Linked DNA regions of Arabidopsis thaliana. The gene in region 2 interacts genetically with the main gene of each other region. Each region holds a gene or a part of one and is shown on either strand. Other genes may lie near its edges.

Evidence for each region.
Region 1: of AT5G50930 (region 2) and HEI10, changing one suppresses a phenotype caused by changing the other (phenotypic suppression), as found in Arabidopsis thaliana (one study listed by BioGRID).

The regions. Positions count from the first base shown.
Region 1 is NC_003070.9:19,961,318-19,967,673, reverse strand, and holds HEI10 (RING/U-box superfamily protein), read right to left. Parts: upstream 4,408-6,356; 5' UTR 4,199-4,407; coding exon of another isoform or gene 3,725-4,198; 5' UTR 3,333-3,724; intron 3,226-3,332; 5' UTR 3,143-3,225; intron 3,070-3,142; coding exon of another isoform or gene 2,962-3,069; intron 2,567-2,961; 5' UTR 2,529-2,566; coding exon 2,459-2,528; intron 2,377-2,458; coding exon 2,304-2,376; intron 2,220-2,303; coding exon 2,174-2,219; intron 2,070-2,173; coding exon 2,039-2,069; intron 1,849-2,038; coding exon 1,593-1,848; intron 1,501-1,592; coding exon 1,331-1,500; intron 1,226-1,330; coding exon 964-1,225; intron 870-963; coding exon 863-869; 3' UTR 722-862; downstream 1-721. Other genes in the region: MUM4 (NAD-dependent epimerase/dehydratase family protein), read left to right, coding at 74-517; MRD1 (mto 1 responding down 1), read left to right, coding at 2,962-3,069, 3,725-4,198; MSL4 (mechanosensitive channel of small conductance-like 4), read right to left, coding at 6,096-6,356. UniProt on the Arabidopsis thaliana protein: Ubiquitin E3 ligase required for class I crossover (CO) formation during meiosis.
Region 2 is NC_003076.8:20,720,249-20,725,044, reverse strand, and holds AT5G50930 (Histone superfamily protein), read right to left. Parts: upstream 2,977-4,796; coding exon 2,918-2,976; intron 2,700-2,917; coding exon 2,647-2,699; intron 2,511-2,646; coding exon 2,205-2,510; intron 1,793-2,204; coding exon 1,721-1,792; intron 1,050-1,720; coding exon 969-1,049; intron 886-968; coding exon 728-885; 3' UTR 564-727; downstream 1-563. Other genes in the region: AT5G50940 (RNA-binding KH domain-containing protein), read right to left, coding at 136-215, 326-380. UniProt on the Arabidopsis thaliana protein: Involved in the promotion of spontaneous somatic homologous recombination (HR) events, which is opposite to the function of FANCM in ordered HR. Only FANCM is essential for replicative repair in the absence of the endonuclease MUS81.

The DNA.
Region 1 (6,356 bases), on a different chromosome or scaffold from region 2:
ATAGAGTACACATTATCAACATTCTCGAAAACCATATGTGTCTTTGTTCATAATTGCTCTGTTTTTCCACCAGGTTGAGGAGCTCTTGAGAGAATTTGACAATGTATGTACCTTGAGAGTCCGGATGCCAATCTCCTCAGACCTAAACAACCCGAGAAACTTCATCACGAAGATCTCGCGCTACAACAAAGTGGTGGACATCCCGAACAGCATGACCGTACTAGACGAGCTTCTCCCAATCTCTATCGAGATGGCGAAGAGAAACCTAAGAGGCATATGGAATTTCACCAACCCAGGGGTGGTGAGCCACAACGAGATATTGGAGATGTACAAGAATTACATCGAGCCAGGTTTTAAATGGTCCAACTTCACAGTGGAAGAACAAGCAAAGGTCATTGTTGCTGCTCGAAGCAACAACGAAATGGATGGATCTAAACTAAGCAAGGAGTTCCCAGAGATGCTCTCCATCAAAGAGTCACTGCTCAAATACGTCTTTGAACCAAACAAGAGAACCTAAGCCTTCAATGAACATCACACTCTTCCACAAGTGCTTACTTTAAACTGTTTTGTTTTGTTTTTTTTTCTTTTTGCCTTTTCTTCCAACAGATATATCTTTTTTATATTTACTCATCGTCTTATGATCCTTGTAGGTAGTTTCACTATATTGATTCTACTAAAATATGATTTACGATTATTAATATTTATATAGACGAGAGTTTTTCTTTTCCTCAAATACTACATTTTCCCTCAGATTTTTACTTACTAAGTCAGACAGCTTATAAAAAAGAAGAGTCACTTACTGGTTGTGACCATTAGGACTTCCACCTAGGCAGTTTCAGAACACTTGAACTTGATCCTTAAGCTATAGCCTGAGAATAGAAGCAACAAAATATTTTAGAACAAACCCAAGTACATGATGTGAGTTTGGTCTATTTTAAGGTTATAGTTTTCTACTTTTCTTACGTGAACAGCTGAGGGCGGGAACGAGAGAGCTGAGAACGTTTAATAGGGGAGAGAATAAGGTTTCGTAGAGTTGACTGGGGATTAGCAGTGCCACCACCACCGTATACAGGATGTCCTCTGCCAGCTCTTCTGTTTCCAAGATCGGATGGAATCGCAGGTGAGTCGGTGGAGATGTCGAATGGACCTGAGTTTGAACTGTTCTGTCTTGCTGGCCATATCTCATCTTTAGGTCCTGGTGTTGCAGGAGAGAAAAACGACCGGTCTGCACCAAATAAGTCAACTTGATTTGGAGATATTTAACCAAAATAGACTCAGGATCATATGAAGCACTAAGCTCAAGACACAGAAATAGTGTAGTTAAATTAACCTTTGCGAATGGTCTCTCTGTTCTCCATCATATTAACTGCTGGGTTTGAGAAAAAGTCGGGTTCTTGGTGTCGCGGGTAGAAGTTGTTTGCTGGTTGGATGGCTGTACGTTTAACTGACTCATACTCACTTCTTAGCTGGTCATACATCTCATCAAGCTTCCTCTTCTGTCTGGTAATTTAAAAACAATTAAGGTACATTGTTATTGTAGTTGAGATTAATATAGGGAACAGAACCAGGAAAACATATCTTAAGTGACTGACCTTGATTTCTCAGAGAACTTCTCTTGGAGCTCTTGCTTATCCTTGGTCAAGTTTTCTACCTCTTGCTCCATCATCTGACACCTCTTGCCCATCTTCTGATATGCTGTATGGACCTGCTCCATTTTCTCGCTAAACTTTGCTTGCATACCCTCACATTTCTGACGACACTGTGCAACAACTCTATTCATCTTGTACTGCATCTCTAAGTCTCTTTGGGCAATGTAAAACATTACACTTCGGTATGCACTCTTCATCACTAGATTCAGTTAAGAAAAACAGGAGGTTTTTGAACCTTAAACTGTTGTTTTACCAACTCTTACAAAGGCAAAAGAGATAAAGTTATACCACTTGAGTTTAGATTTGAGATACAGCGGGACAATTTTCAATTGAAAAACCATAGTTACAACTTGAAAATTCTACCAAGAGCACATCTATGAAAAGGATACGTATTTGTGGAGAAATTCCAGCCATCGCCATCTGATAACACATGTAAGCAACGAGGAGATGTAAGATGGGAATATTGAAAACTGGAAAAGAAGAAAAGCTATAGTATCCTTGCGTATTTCAGCTTAACCACTTACATTTATCCATTCTTCATTTGGATTGATATCCACAGGTTTCATTAAACTAAGATGGAAAGATAAAGACTAACTGTCAAATGGAGAATAAGGCGACTAGAGCTAAACTGAAGCTAGGCTAGGAAAGTTTTACCTCTTGGAGAGTACTTGATCACAAATGGGACATGCCCCATCATTACTGAGAATCTTGCTGGCATCTTCAGTACCTTTTCATGGTGTTAAGGTCATCTTATTCAAGCTCACAAGTGTTGCTACGCAAAAGAAAAGTAGAAAGTGTAAATAGGATACATAATAAGTGACCGCAAGTGGTGGAAATGGCCCTGCCCTCCAGGTCCCTCCAACACGCGTTGCATCTCATGTCAACCTCTAATATAAGTATCTCAAGCTGCTACGCACCTGCAAATTAACTTCATATCAAACAAGATGAAGAACCATGCTCTAAATGAAACTTCCATTCTCCACTGAACTAACTCATTGAGATCACCAATTAACTAGTATTCACAATACAAGTTTTAATTAACCTATATTCATTCTAACTACTGAAAATTGTTAAACTGCAAACACGAATGGGTACAAAGTAAGCATTAAGACCTGTCAAACTTCAGTAGTTAGCAGTTCATAGTCATCGGAGAGGTACAAAACTAACAGTAACTGTGATGATCAACTAGTTTCTAGTCATAAAAACGATTTAGAAAACGGAAACCCTAGAAATTGGGCATATGCATAGATTTCAGAGATCGGCAAAATTTCGACTGCACAGTCCCGAAATTAAGGGTTTCTACATCACAGCGATGAACTCAACTCAACAGTTAGATTCCGACTTACGATTCTTCAGAATACTGGAGACAAATCGGTTTATCAATCTCCCTGATTCGAGATTGACACAAACCTTAGAAATTGTAAAGAGCTTAGGTATAGCAACGAAATCGCAGCAGGAATGTGAAGATCTAAGAAGAAATTGAAGAAGCTTACCTGCGATTTTGACAGAGCGATAGAGAGAGAACGCGTCGCAGAAAGTGATTGAAGAACAACAAACGGCGATTAAGCTTACCGATCTGAAGTATAACACCAAAAACAGCAGCGAAGGATCTCAAAAATTGAAAATCGAAGAAGAGGCAGATGCAAATCCGAGAGAAAACACAAGAGTTTCCAGGATCGTTACCTCTCTCGCTGATTTCAATGCCGGCGCGAGAAACGAAGATTTCAAATTTCCAGAGATAATCAGCAGTAGCAAAATGACTTGAGTGAGCAATAAAATGTCAAAACGACATCGCAGTTTGTTGAAATGCACATCGCTAAACGGCGTCGGTTTGTTAAGCTAAGACTTCCTTTTTTTGGTTCATTTAAACAAAAACAACATCTTAAGTAAAATACAACAACAAAAACACAAACTAAACAAAAAACCCTAGTTCTCTCTCTCTAGTTAGCCGCCGCAAACCAGATCAAATCTTCAAACGCCGTTTTGCCTCTTTGGTGGTCGGTTTCGGCCGGCACCGTGAGAGGGCCTCTCTTCTCTTTTTAGTTTTTTTTTTCCTTTGTGTCGATTTTTTTTAGCCGGCGGCGGCTCCTCCTTCTTTGTGGCTTAATCAAAGAGTTTTAAGTCGACGGCGAGCGGAGATAGTTCTCTCAGATGGAGGTTCGTTGGTAGATCTACAATGGGGAACTATGACTCTCGACGACGGCAGCAGATCTGGTGGATTTCTTCGTCAGTCTCTTCGCGGAGGTACCTCTCCTCCGATGAACCTCCTTGGTAGTGGTGGCTCAGTGTTAAGAAGGTACAGAGGTAGGCGGATCGTGGTTTTCGAGCTTGGTTGTGAAGATCCTATCGATCCCGGGCAGATTTACATGATTCAAGGCGTATTAGCTATGCTGCCGTCAACGACTCCTGATGGAGAATTAATGAGAAATGGGGGAGAAAAGAAAACCATTTGGATTGTAGAAGAAGAAGGAAAGCTCTCCAATAAAGCCTCGACTTCAAGAAATTTTTGTCTCAGCCCGGTTGATCCGGTTGAGTATCAGTCGGATTAGTATGTCCGTTTTAGGCTTAGGACCGAAATAGTGAAAGCAGAGGAGTCAAAACCCTTCTGAAGTTGCGCTTTTGGCGTAGATGCTATTAGGACATGTTCTACACTCGGATCATGAGGGACTAATAGCTTGGAATTGGATTGGATCTCAGGATAGGATTTGATTTTCTTTGTGCTAGAAATGTTTTCGTGTCATTGGGTGAATTTTGGTGGTTTAAAAGATGATTTCACTTAGAGTCGTGGTGTAATTCATCTCGTTGTGGTTGGAAAAATACAGTGAATTTCGGTTGGGTAGCGTTGAATCCATCATAGTGTTTCAAGGTGATAATAGACTGATTCATTGTATTTGGTTAAAATATGTTTTGGTCGAATGACTTGTACCTTTGAATTGGTTAGTGGAAAGTTGATGTTGAGCCAAAAAAAAAAAAAAAAAGACAGAAACAACACATCTTATAGAACCAACTTGTAATCCGTGCTGGTGCAACACGGGTAAAAATTAAAATTTAAAATACTTATTTAATGTTGGACTATTGTTTGCTTTATAGTATAGTTTTAATCATTCTCTATATAATATAAATTCTTAATTATTATGTAATAGGGATGGATATTCGGTTTTTCAGTTTGGTTTTGGTTTTATAAAAACTAAAACTATATAGAAAACGTATGTAACTCGGTTTTTTACGATTCATTTTGAATAGTTTTTTGTTTTACATAAACTAAAACACCATATGTATCTTGAATTCTGGACTCATGCTACAACACATGTTAAATTTTGTTTTTGATAAATTTTATATATTATACATTTTAGAATAAAGTTTTGAGAGCTTGTCTTTTTTATATAGTTATTGTTCATCTCAGAGATCACCTTAACAATGAGATGCAAGTCTACGTTGGATGTTTTCTTTAATCGTCCAAATTTTAACTTCTAATTGCTTGTCAATATCTCCGGAAAGTCTCATATAGATGTTACAATATTGCTCTTTAATGTTATATTTGTGTGTCCACTCAGGGAACAATATCTTTTAGCAGTGATGTCTTCTTTGTTGCCTTGATTGTCTATCCTCGGAATGATGCTCGAGACCTTTGGAATTTCGTTATTCTTCAGATCCGTATTGCAGTGATTTCAGAGCACGTTTGTGCTCAGAACGTACCCGATCTTGATTGGAACATTCATCTACCATATATTAGAATGTGTCTTATTCAAAATTCACTGCCAAAGAATTTTATTTTCATGGACCTCCAATACCACACAGTTACTCAATGTTATCAATAACAAATAGCTCACACCCATGTCAGCTGCCCAAGCTAGATGAGATAGATGCATAACTCTGATCCATATATAGAAATAGAATTCTGTTTGGCATATCCAAATTATAAATTTATAATGGATAAATAAATGATATTGCTATTTTAGATATTGTGTAGGATGTTTAAAAAAAAATCAAAATCTCAATAAATCCTCATTCAGAAGAAAGAAATCTCATAGACCCCTAATATAGATCCATGATTCGCGATTAGAACAATTGGATTTTTCAAAAGTAAATTGACTTTATAAATTTTATTGATGTCAATTAAATTGATGGTTACAAAATTTTTTCCAATATCGTTATAACATAATACATATATTTATTAAAAAAAAATCAATGTTATACTTTTAAAGGTACTTACGTAACATTAATATAAAGATTCAAATGCTGTAAGCTTTTTATTTTATCGACTATAAGTCTATAACCACTCAACACAGATATACACAAAAGCAGACTCGCTTTTTGCAATGAAAATGAAGAATCCTCAAGTCCTTAAAACAATAAAAGAGAAAGAAAATGAAGACAGAAAAATCTCTCTTTTTCACTCACTGCAAATACCAAAAACACCAAAAAGTACTCAAAATTTTCCAATCTTCAAACACTGCGTTGTTGATTCCAGCTAGGAGGAATGCGATCAGAAGTGATGGGAGTAGCAGCAGGAAGACTTTTTACGTTGATGTTAAGAGGATATAACCGATATTCGATATCCAACTCTCTGCATAATCTACCAATCTCTTCAAGTAATTGACCTCTCCTCACATATCTCTCTCCCATATTTTGATGATTCATCTTATGTGTTGGCCACATTGCGATCTTCACACTGTTTAATCCACACATATCTCTAAACACAATCAT
Region 2 (4,796 bases):
TTACATTGAGAGACATTCACACAAAAGGACATAGAAAGACACCAACCAAAAACAAGACAAAGACTTTAATTCCGATCACATCTCTGTATCCTGTAAAGGATCGATGGTTTTAGACCTTCAATAAAACAGATTTACCTTAGCATTCTCAACTTCAATATTATCTTTCTCTTCTCGAATCCCTACAGCACCAATCTCGTTCTGAGATTTTCCTTTACCTACAACATAAAACACTCAGAATTTCTTTGATACATTACCCTTAGAACAAATCGAGATCCCTCTTACATAATCTTCAATGTGTAATAAACAAAAGGATCCAGATATATACCTAAACCATCCTCCAGCTTCTGTTTCTTCGTCGGAGAAGAGTCAGATTGTGACATTGTTATCTAACCCGGCTATCAGACCTAGCTTACAATATCTTTGCTTATACGTGGTATATAACACAGAAAACAAATCACAAATCCCTAAGAGATATATGTTAACCTACAGAGAATATAGAGATAGATTCTCGATATTTTATATACGCAACTTCAAGATAATGAGATATATACGCATATTTTTTAATTTTCTGATTGGATATAGTCATTTAAACGTTAAAGTAAGTAGGTTAATGCAAAAGTCTTCTATATAAAATTTTCCACAAAAATTTAATAACAGCTTCTCCATCAAAGTTAATGTTTATATATATATATAGAGGAGTGCGTGTATTTACACTCTGCTTGAAGAGTTACAGATCGGTCGTGATGCGAACGGCATTGCTACTACTGGCTTTGTCTTCTTTCTTGGCTGATCCTTTCTTGCGTTTCCTCTCAGATTGTGGCTCCTTTGCCTTTAGCTCATTGCATAGTGACCTCAAAGATGCTGCTAAGTTATCGTTTCTATGCGCTGAAAATTGCAAAATAACAGATATGAAATTCAGAACTAAGAAAACACTAACATGAACGTGTAAGAGAGAAACAGTTTAATACCGGAGAGAACAACATCGTCCATGTTCACAACTTTGCGTCCAGCATGATGAGCGAATAGTTCAAGATCCTTTGCAACGTTTTCTGTTACTCATAACAAATAAGCATAATTTCAGACAAAGGTATTCTGGAGACGAAAACACTAAAAATAAGGTTTAGATTTTGGTTGAGTCAACTCCACTATGAATTGAAGCTTCTACAAACAGTTTACCATACAAACATCAACCAAAATAATCCTACTCAACATGAGCACACACCATGCTCAAGAAAATTTCATCCTCTACACCAGATACGTAAAGAACATTCGTTTCGATCCTGCGTCTTTAAATTGCTATATCTGTGTTTCTTTAAGCTAAGTACCACATAAAGGCCTAAGAATAGATACTCTTCTTCACTACTGATAATTTTTTTATCAAAAACCAAAAAACATTCTTCCAATGCATTGACTAATCTGTATTACCCTGAAGCTAGATTAAGATTCAAAGGGACTGAAAAGTTTTACTGAATTGATTTAGAACTTATAAAACTAACACTGCACATTTCATTAATGTAAAATTAACTAGACCAGGATTCTTCTAACCAAAAGATTACTTCCAAAGCATATTGACAAATCTGTATTCCCCTAAAGCCTAGGTTAAACATCCAAGTAAATAGTAGCAATAAATAAGGTTCTTTTAACTATAATAAGGTTCTTCAAACCATAAGATGAAGGAGTTGCAGAATTAGTATTTCAATGCATAGAAAACTGATCTCACCTGCATATTTGAAGGCTAAATCTGCCACACATGCCACAACAGGTCCACCTATTTCCATTCCATTTTTCTTCGCTGCTCAATAAAAAACTCAAATCAATCAAAATCCAACTCTTCTCCATCTATTACTTAATTCCAGGAAGAATCTAAATTTCAACACTGTAGAACTAACACTTCAAGCAGCTTCGTTACTATGTTGATTCATCAGTTCTAGAAATTGAAAATCCCCAAATCTAATTCGAGCTCCAAGAATCTCAATGAAAACATTTAAGCTAATTTCATCGTTCACCAGAAGAAACTAATCGGAAGCCAAATACGAAGGACAATTGAATCAACGATTCAATATCCTTAATCAAATCAACACAAATTCCAAAATCAAATCGAAATACAGACGAAGCTTCATCGAATGTATTCATAAACCCGTTGATTATACCAGAAATTTTGAGAATCGATTGAAATGGGAAGAGAGGGAGGGAGAGAGTCTAACCCTCGGCTTCGGCGATAGAGATCGCGGAGAGTCTGAATCGGTCTCTAATGAGATCGTCCATAGAATATTCTTCAACGATTTGGTCTACCTGGAGATCGCTTATGTCTTCTCCTCCGACGTCCATGGCGAAGCAATAGCTAGGTTTCTTCGCCTGTGTGATTGTTGGGCTATCCGATAATAAAGGGAGAAATATACGCGGGAAAACAAAGTGTAAAACGCAGCGTTTTAAGTATCCCCTCCATGTCCAAAACGCAGCGTTTATATGGAGAATGATATACATTATTAGCATTTTGCTAAGTTGGAGAACTAAAATAAATATGCATCTCCACCCACAAGTATTCTTAAGCTATGGTTGAGTAATGTAACAATGAAACAAAAATTCAGTGGAAGAGATAAATATAACATTTAGAGGTCAGCGGCACGGACTTCACTATAGCCATACCTACTTTTTGCTTGTTACCGATGTTAGGTCCAGCTTCCTCGATCATCATACACCTGTGGCTTTATCGATTACCATCCTCGTTGCCGGCAACAACATCTATGTTTTGCTGATGATTTTTTTGTGTTAACAAAGTCAATGGCAAGATCCTTATCAAAACTTTTCAAGATTCTAGCTATGTTTGAGATAGACAAGGAGGATGCATAAAAGAAAGCTAATTGCATAGTTATACCTTTGATTTAAGGAAACATAGCACTCTCTATTACGCGCCTACCAGGCTAGCAATTTAAATAAATATTTAGCGTTTCGTTTGGCGTAAGAAATGTTAAACATGTTTATGAAGTTCTATATATCAACATGGAAAGTCGTTTTGATTCTTGATTAAATATGTTCCTTATCAGTTATCCATAACAGTACAAGCTTTTTGCTATATGATTTTCAATTCTCAAAGAGGTGTTTAGGAAAAACTAAAAGTTTTTCTAATGCTGTCTTCTGGTCCAATAACCACTATAAATCTAAAGTATCTTGTTGGTAAGCCATGATAAAAGGTTGATCTTGGACTACGTAGGTGTAGCCGTGTAGGTTCGTCGACAATTTCATTACCTATCAATTTAATTTATTTCTATTAACAAAAAACGAAAAAATCATATAGTTTATATCAAAACTTTTATACTAAGACATCACTATTACTTCAAATAATATGTATGTATAGGGTGGGAAATATGGGATAGATGCAATATGGATAGACATCACTACACAACTTCAATATAGTTTCTTTCTTTCTTTATTATGAAAAGTACATGTCTTAATGCGACAAGATATTTCTAGCCTCATTTTCTATATAGTTTTGTTTATAGATTATATTCATCAAAAAAGATTTTGTTAGCTTTTGTTTAGGTTTGTCATCCTCTGTTTCTCAAGTTTAGGACTGTTGTCTCACAAAATTTTCTGACTTGTTGTCTTTGTTTCTTTGAGATTCCGGATTTCGTTAACCGGAATATGCAGACATTGTTTTCGGTTTTTTCCCACCTTTGCACTATACTTTTGCAGTTTAAAAGGATTTTACAAAGGCGGTTTATCAAACTGGACATGCGATTTTAAGCCAAGATTTGTATTCATGCAACTAATCAACAAAGGATAAGAAGAAAAAAGTTAGGAATTTTGTTTTAGCAATACAATCATTCACACATGATATTGACACATCATTGCTCTCTAGGATTAAAAGCCCCCTTACAGTCTTCAAAGTCCGTAGCTAAGTTGGAAATTTCTTACTTTTATAACGTTTAAGTGTTTGTATTTTGGTCTATAAACAGAAGATAATTCCCATAAAATAAGAGGTTGAACATAAACCATGTCACACTCTCAAATAAGAGGTGCAAGTAACATAAGTGGCAACGTCTAGACTTAACTAAAAAGATTCGTCCGCCAGAAGTAAAAAGTAATCAAAAATAAAAATTCGAGAAAATGGTCTCGTACACGGAACCTCTAACATCAACGTAATTGACTATTGAGCCCCCGGTCCAGATACATAGCGACTAGCGAGAGAAGAAAATCCTCAGGGTAGAATAGTCATTAACTGCCTAACCAATCATGAAATGTCACGTGTCACGATCTTAGAGCCTCTAAAACGGACGGTGGTGAGGTTGTCAAGATCCTTACCGTAGTTCTTCTTCTTTTGTGGCTATTACAAAATTGGTTTAATTCTCTAAACCGACAAAGAGAGAACCCAAGTTTAAAATTTTAAGTGATTTGAATGATACATATTGTATTTGCTACTTAAATTAAAAAACAATCAAATGGAGAAGTTTAATGATTTTTTCTGATAAACTATTGAATTTACTGTTCGTTTGTGGGTCGGTTGGTCTAAACCGGCCGTTAGATTACGTAAAATTGAGTTGGTAAGTAGGTCGGTTTACCACGTGATATTTTCTTAGCTAGAGTTTGGAAGTATTGCTAGCGTGCACGATGGTGCACCGAACAAGTGTTATAGACCCTTACCGTATAAAGAAAAAAAATAAAGAATCAGACCGGAGATAGATAGAGAGAGAGATAAGGGAGGGTGAAAAAATAAGCACACACCATTATCCATCTGTTTTTTTTTTTCATCTCTCTCTCTCTCTTTTCTTCTTCGATTCGTGTTTTCTCCATTTCAT